2 linked regions of the Cricetulus griseus genome follow. Each later gene encodes a partner of the first gene's protein in a complex. Links are inferred from orthologs where the notes say so. Each region holds a gene or a part of one and is shown on either strand. Other genes may lie near its edges. The genes, in order: Prpf40a and Sf1.

What was found.
Region 2: the proteins of Prpf40a (region 1) and Sf1 are in contact, whole or in part, in an NMR structure (PDB 8PXX), measured with the Homo sapiens proteins. The link is inferred for Cricetulus griseus from reciprocal best matches to the Homo sapiens genes PRPF40A and SF1. Residues at the interface, in NP_001352526.1 of Homo sapiens: His164, Ser166, Tyr172, Tyr174, Ser181, Thr182, Trp183, Tyr213, Tyr215, Ser222, Arg223, Trp224; in NP_004621.2 of Homo sapiens: Pro575, Pro576, Leu577, Pro578, Pro579, Gly580, Ala581, Pro582, Pro586, Pro587, Pro588, Pro589, Pro590.

Annotation. Positions count from the first base shown.
Region 1 is NC_048599.1:121,219,041-121,226,894, forward strand, and holds part of Prpf40a (pre-mRNA-processing factor 40 homolog A), read left to right. Parts: intron 1-561; coding exon 562-924; intron 925-2,792; coding exon 2,793-2,901; intron 2,902-3,357; coding exon 3,358-3,422; intron 3,423-3,773; coding exon 3,774-3,938; intron 3,939-4,391; coding exon 4,392-4,500; intron 4,501-5,030; coding exon 5,031-5,181; intron 5,182-5,998; coding exon 5,999-6,132; intron 6,133-7,350; coding exon 7,351-7,465; intron 7,466-7,625; coding exon 7,626-7,729; intron 7,730-7,819; coding exon 7,820-7,854.
Region 2 is NC_048596.1:52,989,851-52,998,264, reverse strand, and holds the start of Sf1 (splicing factor 1), read left to right. Parts: upstream 1-4,119; 5' UTR 4,120-4,439; coding exon 4,440-4,470; intron 4,471-5,972; exon of another isoform or gene 5,973-5,977; coding exon 5,978-6,106; intron 6,107-8,414. UniProt on the Homo sapiens protein: Necessary for the ATP-dependent first step of spliceosome assembly. Binds to the intron branch point sequence (BPS) 5'-UACUAAC-3' of the pre-mRNA. May act as transcription repressor.

The sequences.
Region 1 (7,854 bases):
GGGAAATGAATCCAGGTCTTTTTGAAGAACAGCCAGCACTCCCAACCACTGAGCCATCTCTCCAGCCCCGATTTAAAGTTCTTAAGAGAATTTTTGATACATGTCAAATAAGATGTTATGCACAGTAACAGATTGGGATTTTTCTTGAAATAATTGGACATTAGGAAATTAGTCATTTATATTAGTGTTTATTCCATGTTATTGTGTGGGTTTGCTAAATCAAATAATGGTAGAAGCTGGAAGTGATAACATAATGGTAATCCCAGTTCTCCTCAAAGATGCTAAGACCACACTATGGCCTGAGCTTCATGAATGTGAGCCCAGCATAGGCAATATGGCAAGATATTCTCTAAAACAAACATAAAATTAATATCTTATTCTGTGATCTTTTTGTGTAATTTTGTTTAGCCCTTTGATTATTCCATTAGTGTTACCATTTTAAAATTTAATTTAGTTTCACTGTTACAGTATTGAAATAACCAGTTCTTTCTTTCTCCCTCCCCACTTCTATCCCTCTTATTCCTTCTCTTCTTCCCTCTGTCTCTCTCTTTTACTGTATAGCAAGCAAGAAGAATGTACTACAACATCAACAGCCCCAGTTCCTGCAACAGAAATTCCTACCACTATGAGCACCATGGCTGCTGCAGAAGCAGCAGCTGCTGTTGTTGCAGCTGCTGCAGCTGCTGCAGCAGCTGCTAACGCCAATACTTCCACCACTCCTACTAATACTGTGGGAAGTGTTCCAGTTGCTCCTGAGCCTGAAGTTACTTCCATTGTTGCTACTGCTGTAGATAGTGAAAATACAGTAACTATATCCAATGAAGAACAAGCACAGATTGCTAATACCACAGCTATTCAAGATCTAAGTGGTGACATATCCAGTAATACTGGAGAGGAACCAACTAAACAAGAAACTGTAACTGAGTAAGTTTAGTAATTCAAGACTTCTGAAAGTTAATGCCTGACTTAAACTATAAGAACTTGTTAATTTAGTCAATGAAATCAAAATCAAGGCAAAAAGGAAAAAAAAAATCAGTTTACAAACTTCCAGTATTTTAAATAAAGGCTTGGTGTCACCCCTGGTTGGTTTACTCTTTGGAAGGGTGTGTCTGTTTTCCTTCTCTGTTCTATGTGCTCAGTCAGAACTTCCAAGAAGTACTGTAGATTGCTGTTGAACACAGATGTGTTTTGGAAGGTGACAAGCTCTGCCAAATGGGATAGAATTAAACTTGATTTCATCCCTTTTTGGTTATTGGTGGTATCTGGCTTTCAGCTTGTTGTAAATAAATTGAAAAATATGAACAGTTTTTTTTGAAATATGCTTCAGTTAAGAGAAGGCACTTTATAGAGGAGTCACAAAAAGAAGCTCAGTGACAGTTGCAAGACTTCCTTTTTCTACCATATGAGCCAAGATACACAAAAAAGGCACAAATGGATGAATAGTCTGACCAAACACTATTATCTAGTTAATATTTAGTCTTGCTGCCTCCGTCTCTACTCCTTACCATCAGTGTTCTATGTCTCATATTAATTTCACAAATAGCTATATAATGTGTTCATGTTGAGATATTTTAAAAGAAACAAAATGGTACATTTGGAGGCAATTAAGAGTTAAGGTCACATTTTCTTTTACTCTTCTGACCTTAGCTATGCATATATTAAGGCATTTTCTGAGTGTATGTGTACATGTGTGCATATGCATATATATGTATCAGATATATTTTTCTGTATCCATAAAGGTCAAATGATGATATCATATGATGTAAGCTTTGGGAATGTCATTCTACATTTTATGCTTTAACATTGAACACCAAAATACTGAGATGCTCAAAATAACTTCTGTAACTTGGTATGATAGTTACATGTAATTTGTGCCAAGCCTCGTATATATTACTATTACTTTTAATGTTTAATCCAATATAATTTGTTACAGAATCAAATTCACAAATTGTGATGAGAGGTTTTTGTTTGTTACAGATATGTTTTATGATTATTTTAATTCTTTTGTATGAATGTGGAGGGCCAATTTTTTTTTCATAGTTTTAGAAAGATTTTTTTCCTAAAGAGTCCCAGTATAACTCATGAGTTATAATTTTTAATAATTTCAATTAAGTTTTATGTAAAGGCACTTATAAGAACAATATATGTTACTACATATTACATTCTTATGTCAGTATCTATTGCTGTTCCATTTCCATCCATTGAACTAAATTTTTTTCAATTCAGTGGACCTCAAACAAGTAGTTGTTTCTATATTATATTCTTTTTGAAATCAGAATTTATCAAGTCTGTTCTACAACTTGTCAAATAATATTTATTTGAGGTTAAACAGTGACTTGGTGTCCGTGCCATAGTATAAAATCATCCAAAAAGAATATATGGAATTAGCTGATTGCTATTAATGTTTATAAAATTAACTAAACTGGATTTTGCTAATCAATCATTTGATTGTTCTATACATCTTTTTTAGCTTTTTGTATACACTAAGGTATACACATTAGATCACTAATATGAAACAGCTGGATAAATATAATAAGCTATTTATTAGCCTCTAGACTAGTCTGATACTATAGATCAACTTAGTGTGATTTCCCCCTTATATTTGGCCTTTTTACAGGGCCTTATATCTGTAAATTTATTTCCTGTCTTCAGATAGTTTTATTTTCAGGGTTCATATAAGAAAATTTCTCTCAAAATTGTCAAGTTTTAGGTCAGCATCAGTTAAATGATTTCCTAAGCAGAAATTAGTTCCTGAAATTATGAATAGCATGTTTAAATTTCTCTCTCTCTAGTTTTACTCCTAAAAAAGAAGAGGAAGAGAGCCAACCAGCAAAAAAAACATATACTTGGAATACAAAGGAGGAGGCAAAGCAAGCATTTAAAGAATTATTGAAAGAAAAGGTATTATAATCTTTTTAAGTAACACATAATAATTTCCTAATAAATGTTCGCTTTGGTGCCTTTATTTAAAATACTAATTACTTGAACTGTTTTAACTGAAAACAAAGTAAATTTGTTGTGTTTTTATTGAAGAATGCTTTTGGAAACTCAACAAGGTATTATTTCACAATCATATTTTTGCCTTGATGTATAAGATTTTTTATTTAAATTATTGCTTGTCTTTTAGTTGGTGATCTAATGCGGAAAAAATACTGTTTCAATTTCAGTGTGAATTTTCTTTTTAGTCAATAAGTGTGTATCATAAATTTGCTTCATTGAAAATGGTTTTAGATTGTAAAAAAAAATCTGCAAAGGGGGAGGTGCTTGATATTTGCAATGAGTGTTAAACTTGCTTTCCTATGATAACCATTGTCTCTGTTGTATAAAATTTTAATTTTCCCTTTAAATAATTTTCAGCGGGTACCTTCCAATGCTTCATGGGAACAAGCTATGAAAATGATCATTAATGATCCTCGGTACAGGTAATACAATGACTTTAGAATTAACTTTACATTAATCTTAGGGCATTTAAAGTTATGTTCAACAGTTTAACTTTATAATACACAGCTGTTCATAGGTATATAATTATTTTAAATAGAGGTATTTTATGTGTTCTATAGCCAGAAATCCAAAAGGGTTGTCCTACAATTTGAGCACCTTGCTCCAAATGAAATTATAATCACTGAACACTAGAATTTGCTGTTTAAAATAATTGTATATCTTCAGTAAATTAGATATTTTCTTAATGTATGCGTCAAACATTTTTCTAAAGCAGTAACATTTTATTCTCCAGCCTTTATATTTATTCTTGTCTGATATTTTCTGTTATTTAGTGCTTTAGCAAAGCTGAGTGAGAAAAAGCAGGCCTTTAATGCCTATAAAGTCCAGACCGAGAAAGAGGAAAAAGAAGAAGCAAGATCAAAATACAAGGAAGCTAAGGAATCCTTTCAGCGTTTTCTTGAAAATCATGAGAAAATGACTTCCACAACCAGATACAAGTAAGATTTTTAATGATGGAGGCAATGTTCCCCCTGTTGTTTGTGTCGTACTTCTTGCTAACTCATCCAAAATGGATGGTCATGAAACAGCTGGGTAAATGAGCATGTGGCAGTTTTATAAGATAGCCAAAAAAATCAGTAACTTATAGGCTCACTTGAGGTGTTAGGGAATAGACATAATACATTAACTGTTACTGTTTTATAGTCTGCAGAAGGTGACTTGGGGGAAAGGGGCTATTTACATTGCAAAGCATTACCTAATGTGAATTGTCCTAAGAGAAAATAGAGACTTTGCTCTTCTGTTAATATTTTATTGATTTTCATAAAAGTTTTCCGAGTTAATGCATTTGTAAACTTGAAATGGAGAGTGTGTTAATTGAGTGCCTTTAAAAAAAAAAGTCTAAAATTGTACTGATGCATTAATCAAGTAACCCTTGATTTCATAATCACTAGAAAAGCCGAACAGATGTTTGGGGAGATGGAGGTTTGGAATGCTATATCAGAGCGTGATCGTCTTGAAATCTATGAAGATGTTTTGTTCTTCCTCTCAAAAAAAGAAAAGGTACTTTTTAAATTGTTGTTATTTCAACATTCTGAATAAGATTTTCTTTATTATAAATGAGTAAAAATTATAATGTCAGTTTCTTTGCTTAACTCCGTTAGTGTGTATATATCATATCTGTTCATTGGAAGCTGTGTTAAAAGATATAATGAGTAACTCATTTTTTCTCCTGTTTGTCAGTAAATTGTTTTGCATCTAGTATTGAAAATATTACTAAAAATTTGAATATCAGGGAATGCCTTTGTGTTTATATACTGACTGTACACAGTAGCCCTCATTATTAGTTATATCTGTAATGAATACTGGTAAGGCATAGGTTTATGAAATGAGGATACAAAACAATATAATTTTTTTGGATTTTGAATTCAAAGAGAGATGAAAAACTGAAGGTTTGGAAAACAGTAACAAAATGAAGGGTCTTGGTATATAATAACATTTGGACATTTATCAGAATATAAAGGAATCTTAAGTAATTATAATTTAGATATCTTGTTTGAATATTAAAAGCATTATTCAAATGTTTGTTGTAGGAACAAGCTAAGCAGTTACGAAAGAGAAACTGGGAAGCCTTAAAAAACATACTTGACAATATGGCTAATGTTACATACTCTACTACTTGGTCTGAAGCCCAACAATATCTGATGGATAATCCAACATTTGCAGAGGATGAAGAGTTACAGAGTAAGAACAATCACTACATAAGAAAAATGATAAGTAGTACCCCTTGAGTTATTCTTTACTTTCTGTATGAAATTCGAGGAATTGCTATTTTATGCAGTTGCTAGCTCAAATTTTACAAAATGATTACTATTTCTGAAAAAATACTTTATTTTCAAATGGGTTGTTTCTAATTGAATTTTGATTTAGAAAAATACTTTTCTAGAGATCTCAGTTAACATTTAACAGAAAATTCTTGAAATATGTAATAAATCAACTATTTATAGCTCACTGGTATCCAATCCCAGCATGGAGATGGAGTTGACCACAAAATCTTACTCTTAGCTGTAGAGCTTTAGCAACTGATGGCTGCTGGAAAGGAGACAGTTTTCTCAATCATAGCTCCTGATATATCAACTACTCTCAAGAGTAAGATCGTATATCCAACAAATTCTTCTTGGTGGATTTAAAATAAGTTTAGGGAGGTAGGGATGACAAAGTTAGCTGGCTAAGTGGTGTGTATATCTGTGAAGAAGTCAGTGGTGAATATGAGCAAAATGCACACAAAACTCACAGAACTAATAAAATTTTTTATCAATAAAATAATCTGTTTGGAATTAAGCATAACATTGCTCTGTTAGCCCGTTAATTTTGTCATGTGCATGTGCTCTTGCCTTTATTCTCTAGGATTTGAAGTCTTTCAAAACTTGTGTCATTACAAGATCATGTTTAAATTCAAATACAAACACTTTTAAACACTGAATTTGAAGTTTGTAAAGACTTTAATTAAACTGCTTTCTTTGTTAATATTTCAATTTTTTTAATCTGAAAAATACTTCAGACATGGATAAAGAAGATGCATTAATATGCTTTGAGGAACACATCCGGGCTTTAGAAAAGGAAGAGGAAGAAGAAAAACAGAAGACTTTGTTGAGAGAGAGGAGGCGGCAGCGTAAAAATAGGGAATCTTTTCAGGTAATAGAAAAATGCTTTTTCTAGTGTAGTTCAGTAACATAGTCATTGAACGTCAACAAGTATCAAAACAGTTTTGAGATGCTTGTTTCCAGTTCACTACATAGGCTTTGTTTTGGACCATATATATTGAACTTCTTAATTTCTATATTTTCAATTTTGTTCTTAGATATTTGAGGCAAGGGACTATAGCAGGCTGCAACAAACATTATTTAACTTGAGCATAAGGGTTTAGCTTACAAAAATAGCATGAGGACTGAGTGGAAACAAGATATAGGATATACTTTTTAGGAGTTGATATATGGTTCTCAAAGAACATGCTGTAGTACAGTTTAGGTGTGTAACATAATTAAGCACCTATGTGGGAGTTTAAATACTTTGAGAAAAGTAATTTATTCTTTATGGCTATTTTAGATTTATTTTATATGTATGAGTGTATTTCCTGCATGTGTGTGTGCAGCATCTGCTTGCCTGATGTCTAGATCCCCTGGAACTGGAGTTAGCGGTGATTTTGAGTCACCATATGGGTGTTAGGAACAGAACCTGGGCCTCTGCATGTGTTACAACTGCCTCTAACCACAAAGCCATTTCTTTAGTTGCCACATTTTTTTTGTTTTTAATTAATCAAATTTGAAATATCTAATTCTATTTAAAAACAAAAGCTATATTTTACAGCACAAACACATTTATTCTTTAGCCACATCATTTGAGAATAGATAATTCCAGTCATTTAGTATATATAGCTACATATATATATATACAATATTTTATGTACTTTTTGTTTTTTTAACTGGAAATAGTGTTCTATCTTAAGGGACAGGCAACTGAAGGCTAGAAGGGTACTGTAGTGTTTAAAGATCCCTTTCAGCTGGGCGATGGTGGCACACGCCTTTAATCCCAGCACTTGGGAGGCAGAGGAAGGTGGGTCTCTGTGAGTTAGAGACCAACCTGGTCTACAAGAGCTAGTTCCAGGACAGCCTCCAAAGCCACAGAAACCCTGTCTCAAAAAAAAAAAAAGATGCCTTTCTTTTGATGTTTTGTTTATAATTAATTGTGGTCTAAAAACATTTTTATTCCCATCAAATAGCAAATATTCTTTGTACCTAAACATACTGGATAACACTGTGAGAAAAACTTTTGATATTGCTAACAGTTCTTTATATGGATTTCTATGTTATCATTCTAATGAGTTTTCAAATATATTTGTTTCCTTTCTTACAGATATTTTTAGATGAATTGCATGAGCATGGACAACTGCATTCTATGTCCTCTTGGATGGAACTGTATCCAACTATTAGTTCTGATATTAGGTTCACTAATATGCTTGGTCAGCCGGGTGAGATTCTTTTCTTTCCAAACCTAAGATGGTAGTTGGAATGGATTGGTGGGTGGTAGGTGGTGGGTGGGAGGGGAGGTGTGTGCTTTATTTTATGTTTGTTTTACAAACAAAAAGTAATTGCAGCTCTTGGTTAGAGCTAGCTTTTTGACTTCTTTAGTTTTTTCATTAGGATCAACTGCACTTGATCTTTTCAAGTTTTATGTTGAAGATCTTAAAGCACGTTATCATGATGAAAAGAAGATAATAAAAGACATTCTGAAGGTAAATAAGACATATGTTCTTTCCTATTTGAAAACATCAATCTATTCCTTAGAGTTATGTGTTACTTATAACAAAATTTCTGGTTTTTAGGATAAAGGATTTGTAGTTGAAGTAAATACTACCTT
Region 2 (8,414 bases), on another chromosome or scaffold:
ATGGCAAGTGTGTGCTGGGAAGTATGTTAGGAAGCTCAGAAACTGGCAAAACTATCAGCTGACCATGCATTCATACACAGAAAGTTATGGGAGGAGGTTGAGCACAGTGGTGCACATGTGTAATCCCAGAACTTGGGATGCTTAGACAGGAGAGACCAGTTGAAGGCCAGCTACATAGCAATAATGTTTGGGGTGGGCTGGGGGCAAAAAGTATGAAGAAATGAAAAATGGCAGCTTTCAAGCCAGGACCTCAGCAGGAGCAGGGACTGCAGAGGGGGTTGTTACGGACTAAACTGGAATAGAGAGTTGACAGCAGGGACTGTAGATACTATGTTTATGGCTTTGTTTTGGTCTACAATGGAGGGGGTCAAACCCAAGGCCTTACATTAGGCACATACTCTGCCACCCAGATTCATCCTCAGCCCCAGAAACTATGTTTATACTATAAACAGAAAAATGTCCAAAATGATCAATTTATTATTCTGAAGCTGAAGGAGATGGCTCAGTGGGTAAAAGCACTTCTATGGGGAGATGGAAGGTGAAGACAGGAGAATCAGCTTGAGGGCAAACGCGAATGGAATACTCAACGCAGCATCAGAAATGAGAGAGATGTCGATGTGGAAGGGGAACTAACTCCTGACACTGTCCTCTCACCTCCACACAAGCCCCGTGGCATGAATGTGCCTGCATTCGCATACAACACACACACACACACACACACACACACACATTTGTGAAAAAAGTTGGTTATTGGGATGGTTAGTTTTGCCAACTTGATACAATCTACAATGTTTGGCACTGGTCTTAATGGGACTGTAGATCAAGTTGGCCTGTGGGCATGTCTTAAATTAGGAAGATTCAGGGCACTATGAGTGGCACTATCCCCTAGACAGGGAGTCTTGGGGTGGAAGAGGCATTTTTTTCTCTGCTTTTGACTATGAATATAACTACCTTCTTCAAGTTCCTGCCTCAGTTTCCCTTAAAGGATAGACTGTAACCTGTAATTGTAAGCCAACTAAGCCCTTTTTCCCGTAAAGTTACTTTTGCCAGGGCATTATTACAGCAATGGGAATGAAACGAGGATGCAATTCCGGGTTAAGGACCGAGAGGGGTGGAGACTGTAGTGCATGCTTCCCCTCCTAATCCTTTCCCTGTTTTTAAAATGTTTGTAGGCGCACACCTTGAGTCCAGGACATCCAGGGCTACATAACACAGTGAAACCCTGTTTCAAAAAAAAAAGGTATTTCAAGTCTTCTATCCTCCACTAATGCTTTTAAGACAAGCATGCTGGAGCAGGTTACTTCTCACTCTGTTATGTGTGGGGGTGTGGGTGTCATGTTCATTCTTAAACACATTTCATGTATTTCTCATATACTTCTTCACACATTAGTTCATCCAGCTCTGAAGGGTCAATCAGTGTCATCTTGATGGGCCAGCTACCTTTGTGGATTTGTTGGCGAGCCCCAGGTTTTCTGCACCTACTTTATGGATTTCACTTACCTCTTCTGAGAGGAGAGTTCACTAGCAGCCTTCACATTCTCTAGAGCACCACACTCTTCCCACAGCACAGTGGGTCTGGTGTGCAGCACTGCCCCTTGATGGGCAGGAAGCCATGGTGGTGTGCAGGCTACAGGCCATGGCCCCCATGCTCCTTGCCACTCCCAGGGCCATGATCAGGGCTCCAAGGGTTGCCATGGTAAGCCTCCACCACCACTTACTTTTCTATTGCTACGAAGAGACACCATGACTAAGGCATGTTATAGAAGGAAGAATTATTGGGGGCTTCCAGTTCAGAGGTTAAGTCTCTGACCATCATGACAGGGACCATGGCAGCAGGCATGGTGCTGTAGTAGTAGCTGAAAACTTACACTGTATTAGCCAAGTACAAGGCAGAGAGAGACAGAGAGAAAAACGGGGGTGGGACATTCCTATTCAAACTATTACAGCTTGCCATGGCTGGCTCCATAATAATTATTTCCAGTATGTGGGACTCAAACCCAGGTCTTTGGCCATATTAGGCCAGCATTCTACTACTAAAGTACAGCCTTAGTCCCTGTATTTAGTTTTATTTATTTTTGGTTTTTCGAGACAGGGTTTCTCTATGTAGCTTTGGAGCCTATCCTGGCACTTGCTCTGGAGACCAGGCTGGCCTCGAACTCACAGTGATCCACCTGTCACTGCCTTCTGAGTGCTGGGATTAAAGGCGTGTGCCACCAATGCCTGGCCCAGTTTTAGTTTTTAAAATTTTTGATGTGTATGGGTGTTTTGCCTGCATGTTATGTTTGTGCACCACCTGTGAGCAAGCAGTGCCTGAGGTGTTCAGAAGAGGGAGTCTCGATCCCTTGAACAGGAGAGACATGTTTGTTAGTTGATATGTGGATATCAGGTCCTCTAGAAGAGTAGCCAGCGTTCTTTACTGAGCCATCTCTCTAGCCATTCCTCTACTTAGTCTTGAAGGCTTCTGTGGGTATTACAGACATTTGGTTTTTCTTCTATTTTTGCAGTTCTAGAGGTAGAATCAAGGAAGTTGCATGTGATATGCAAAAGCTCTACCACTGATGTGTATTCTCAGGCCAGACATTTGCTCCTTCTCTGTTGCATGGCAATTTCCTCCCTAATCTGCCACGACCTGTTGACTTGTACCACACAGCATACTTGAGTTTCTTGTCTTGAGTTTCTTGTCTTGAGTTTCTTGTCTAGATTCCTAGATTACCCCACATCTTCTAAATTGTCTACGTGTTTTCAGATTTTTTCTACATCATTTTTAAAATTTTGTCTAATGTACATGGGTATTTTGTCTGCATGTAAGTCTGTGTACCACATGCATGCAGTCCCTGTGGGGCCAGAAGAGGGCTTTGGATCCCCTGGGGCTGAAGTTACAGGTGGTTGTGAACTGTCATGTGGGTGCTGGGAATTGAACCCAGTTCTTTGGAAGAGCAGCCAGTGTTCTTAACTGCTGAGCCATCTCTCCAGCCCTTCTACATCATTTATTAAACATCTTTCTCTCTACTGGGTTGAAGTAATCAGCTTTGTGATTATCCTATTCCCAATTATATTCTGTTGTGTTACTGGGTTTTCCTGCAAAAAAGTTGTTTCATTGCTCTTATGTTTACTTTATGAGAAGGCATTTCCATGGTCATATACTTTTAAGGTAACTTAGTCAAATTCCCAACACACTGATTACGATGGAAAAAACTTTTGAATTGTTTCTAAGAATGACTGTGAGCTCCTGATTTTTCTTTGCAAGAGCTAAGATTGCAGGCATATGGCACTAAGCCTGTTTTTTTTTTTTTTTTTTTTTGGCACAGATATACTCTATCCCAGGATAGGCCCCAAATCATGGCAGCTCTCCTGTCTCAACCTCTCAAATACTCAGGTGGCCACCTTGTCTTTCATCTGAGGTTATATGGTTTGTTCTATCACTTTAGGTATTAATTTCTTAGAGATCCGCCTGCCTCTGTCAACAGAGTGCTGGGATAAAAGGCGTGCACCACCAACGCCCGGCACTCGCGGTGGCAGAGGCAGGACAGCCAAGGCTACGCAGAGAAACGTCTCGAAAAACAAAACAAACAAAAATAACAAAAGGACCCAAACCAAAAATTAAGCCACAAACAAAAAACTACCCTATTCCGTAACTTTATTTTTCTAAAGAAAACAGGAAGTTCTCTACCTGCGTCGCCGACGTATCCGGTTCATTCACTCGAGCCCGCCCATTGCCCGCGGCGGTTCCTGGTTACCTCAGGCACAATGACTAACGTCACTTACAGCTTCCGCTCCCGCCCCGCTGGTGGAGGGACAGAGGCCGCCGGGCCTCACCACGCATGCGTACCTCCTGCTCCCCGCCTCCCCCGATCTTCCTTCGGGCTTCTCCTCCGGGCTTTCTCGATTCCCGAGCAACTCGTCCCCGGGGAGCGGAGTCGTTTCAGCCAATCCCGAGGCATTACGACGCCGAGGAGCGGGACTCCATCAACTCCAGCCAATGAGCTAGCCGTTCGCTCTACGTCATAGACTTTGCCCCACCTTAATCTCCGCCCCTCCGGCCTGGGCGCTCAGTCCGCGCAGTAACAAATGAGGTGCGCGCTGCGACACCTCCCAGCTCACCCGGCCCCGCCGCCATTTCGTCGCCTGGCCTAACGGTTCGGCCAATCCCGACACGTATCGAAAAGGACTAGCGCTCCACCAATCGGAGGCCGCTGCCTCCGACCTCACCTTGGGCCGGCCCAATCCAGGCCCCGGTCCCGCCGCCCTCAGACCGCCCCCGCGGCATCCTCTCTCCTCCCTCTTTGTGCGTCTGGCGCCGCCGCCGCCCGCCGCGTGAGAGGACTGGCTCCCCGCGCTCCTCGGCAGCGTAGTCGGGTCCCCTCCCCCCCCGGAAGGTTCGCGAAGGAGAAGCCGCCGCCGAGGACGAGGAACCGCTGGTGCCGGTCCCCTGGGGCGCCATGGCGACCGGAGCGAACGCCACGCCGCTGGGTAAGCTGGGCCTTTCAGGCCTTCCCCCCGCTTTCTGGGCCCAAAGGCGGCTTCGAGCCGGGCCCGCTGGCGCCTGGGCCGCTGCCACCGGTGGGATCGCTGGGGGCCCTGACGGCGGCCTTCTTGGTGGCGTCGCCGCCGCCCCCGGCCTGGAACCCTCCACTGCGGCCGCCCCCGCGCCGCCGCTCTTCCAGCGAGGGTCGCCTCCGTGCCAGGACCAGCAGCCGGGCCCGTCCGGCGGCGGCGGCGGCGGCGGTGGTGGCGGTGAGTCGGGCCGATAGAGCGCGAGGAGCGCCGCGCGGACCGGACCGGAGCGGCCGGCCGGCCGGCGGAGGGGCACGCGACCGAGGTTTCACGCGGCAAGGACGCGAGCGCGAGCGCGTGCACGGGAGGCCCGGGCGGACGCGCCCCAGGGTACGCGCGGCCTGGTTTGGGAAGCTCCGAGTGCGCATGCGCCCTCTGAGAGGAAGACGGGCGGGAGGAAGCGTCCATTGCGCAGACGCAATGAGGCGTTCAGGCTTTGTGGCGCAATTCTGAGGGCTTGAAGAGGCCACCTGTTGCCCCTTGAGCTGGTGTATACAGGAGAGTGTAAGAAAGTCCACGTAACGATGTGGTGTGAGGGGTCCCCCTTACGGTTTTAGGAACCTGAAAGGGAGACCAGTCCCGTGTCAAGAGTGTCTCTTTTTTTTTGCAATAAGGCCAGTTTGGAAGACTTGTGGTGATGCTTGGGTTCGATTTTTCTTTTTAAGGCTGTTTATCTCTTTTTGTTTTCTAGAAGGTTTTGAGTGACCATCTTTCCCCGTGCTGATTTAAAAGACTTTTCCCCTGGCCTGTAATCCTGAGAAGTAGAAAACCTTGTGTGGTAAATGTAGGGAAGAATTGGATACATCAGAGTTCTGATGACAGGTGTCCACTGGTCAGAAAAACTGAATGCTGGTCTTGCCGTGTGAGCATGGTCTTACTGAAGGATGGGACGTTTCACTTAGTGATATGTAGGAAGAGCTTTGGGTGTTGTTTTCCTTTGGAGCTAATCTGCTGCTTTGTAGATCTGATTGTCCAACTTTACTGCCGTTTAGAGCTTCCAGAATTGATGTACATCTCCTTAGAACTATTAAGAATTGGAAGCAAGGGTGCAGTGGCTCATACCTTTAATCCCAGCAGAGACAGGGAGACAGACAGAATAGGTGTGCTTCAGTAGTGTAGAGCCTTTGCCTAGCATTTGCACGACCTGGGTGTTCCCAGCACCACAAGAGAAAATTTGTTCCTTGTATTTACATTCTCTAGCAAGTTTTCCCAGGAAAAAAGAATATAAATGTGAAGTGTTCATTAACTTCTCTGACAGGACCAGATACCTTTATGTCTGCTTGTATTCCTCTCTGACCTCTGAAGCTCCTTTCTTTTTAAATTTTAGGTGGATTTCTGTTTTAGTCTTAATTGTCATGAACTGCCTGTTGGTAGTCACTCTCATGGTTCGTGTTTCCTCCTGATGGGCTCTGTCTGTCTTTAGACTTCCCAAGTAAGAAGAGGAAGAGGAGCCGGTGGAACCAAGACACAATGGAACAAAAGACAGTGATTCCAGGCATGCCCACGGTTATCCCCCCTGGACTGACTCGGGAACAAGAAAGAGCTTATATAGGTAAATACACGTTCTGCATCCAGGTGCATCTTCAAATTGTGACTGCTTATTCTGAGGACAAATCTATTGAAAGTCTGAGGTTTTAGTTTTGGGACAAGGTGTGATCAGGTGTGCTTTTTATAGCTTTGGTGTAAACTGTGATTTGCATGGCCAGTCCTGGATTTGTAACTTGTTTGGGCCTGCTCTCAGCAGCACATAGGCCTTACTAAGCAGCCCACTTCTCAGCTGCTCTTGCTCATTGATGAGGTGCATGCTTATCTGCCTCTCTGGACAGGCCCCAGTGGAGAACACTGCAGGTATTTGTAAACCAGGTGCCTTTTTTGTAACATGGCCTTTCATCATAATGTCATGGTTCCCTTTCCCTAAAATGTGGTTTTGCTTTTTTTTATAGGTTACAAAACAGTTCAAACAAAAAGTGGCTCTGAAAGTATTTACAGCTCACCCATTTTTACTGTTTTGTTGAATTTAATCCTTCCCTTCAGCATCTTGTTTGGTCTTTAGAGAGCTGTCTTAAAAATAAAAGCTCTTAGCCCGTTGGTGGTACACGCCTTTAAGCCCAGCACTCAGCAGGCAGAGACAGGAGGGTCTCTGTGAGTTCAAGGCCAGCCTGATCTACTGAGCAAGTTCCAGGACAGGCTCCAAAACTACAGAGAAACCCTGTCTCAAAAATAAATAAATAAATAAATAAATAAATAATGAAGGCTCTTGTAAAACCACGAAAAAACTCTACTGGGAAGGGTTTATTGTTTGATTTGAAATGAGGTGGTGGCAGGATTTTAAAAATTTAAGTTGAATTGAAATTAAACCTCAAAATTACTTAGAAACCAAGGTCATTCATACAAATTATATATGTCTGTCCAGCTGTCTTAAAAAGTACACTTGATAAACATTTTCAACTAACCAAATAAACATCCTCTTTGGGCAGAAACCTAGTGGGTCCATGAAGCTGTGACCTTCACAAACATAGCTTCAGGGCCAATGTGGTCTAAATCTGGAGGGTCTTCATTTCCTGGTTTTTAGATTGCTGAGAATTTTAAGGCGTTGGAATTGTCTTCTTGTCACAGTACTACTAATACTACTTTTTCTCACTGTTGCTGTTTACTCTTATCCAACTCTTAGGTGTCATTAGACCAGTGTTGGACCTTCCAACCTTATAAAATGCCCCTAATGGTATCACAGCCCAAGAACGTAGAATCTGAGAAACACTTAATACTTTACAACTCTCTTTTCCTCTGGAGGCCCAGTTAATGCACTAAGCCCTTAAAGACTATTTAATTTACATCTTTCATCAAAGTAGGTAGACTCAGAGTTAGAGGCTAGTATAAGTTCTTTGCTTCATGGGAGATAATAGCCTTTTCTGGTTTATTTCGTTCTGGGTATTCAAGTTAGATCCTATTGTAGTTTCTTTTGTCTGAAGTTCTTGAGCTTAATGTCTTACTGTAAAGCTAGAACTTGTTTGGAGTAAAGGAGTTTGGAGGGCAGCTGTGTCCCATGGCGTACACTTGTCCAGATGTCCTCAGGATCCTCTCGCTATTCAGTTTACTTTCTTTTCTTTTTTCTTTTTTTTTTTCCTTCAGAGACAGGGTTTCTTTGTGGTTTTGGAGGCTGTCCTGGAATTAGCTCTTATAGACCAGGCTGGTCTTGAACTCACAGATCCTCCTGCTTCTGCCTCCTGGGTGCTGGGACTAAAAGCGTGCGTCACCACTGCCCAGCTGATAATTCTAATTTTAAAGTATGTCTCACAGGGCTATACAACATCCCCATGCTGAAAACACTGAGTAAAAGTAAACTGAAGCTGGGCGTTGGTGGCCCACGCCTTTAGTCCCTGCACTTGGGATGCCGGTGCATCTTTTGAGGCCAGAGAGTTACAGGAAGGACAGGGCTGCAAAGAGAAACTCTGTCTTAAGAACAATTATCTGTAGTTAGGTATGCATTAATCCTAATTATAAGTAAGCTGTGCCCTTCCTACCTGCTCAGAAACCTGGGGTATGATAAAGATACAGGATAGGGCCATGATCTTTTAGCCAGGCATAGCGCACGCCTTTAATCCCAGCACTGGGGAGGAGAGGCAGGAGGATCTCTGTGAGTTCGAGGCCAGCCTAGTCTCCAGAGCCAGTGCCAGGATAGCTCCAAAGCTACACAGAGAAACCCTGTCTCAAAAAACCAAAAAAAAAAAAGATAGGCTAGGTAGTTACAAACACAACATATTGAAGAATCCACTCTGTTATCCCGCTGTGTTACATTTCCCATGAGTTACTAGAAGCTTTTAGTGAAATCCTCATCTTATGTCATTTCAATGCCACATGCA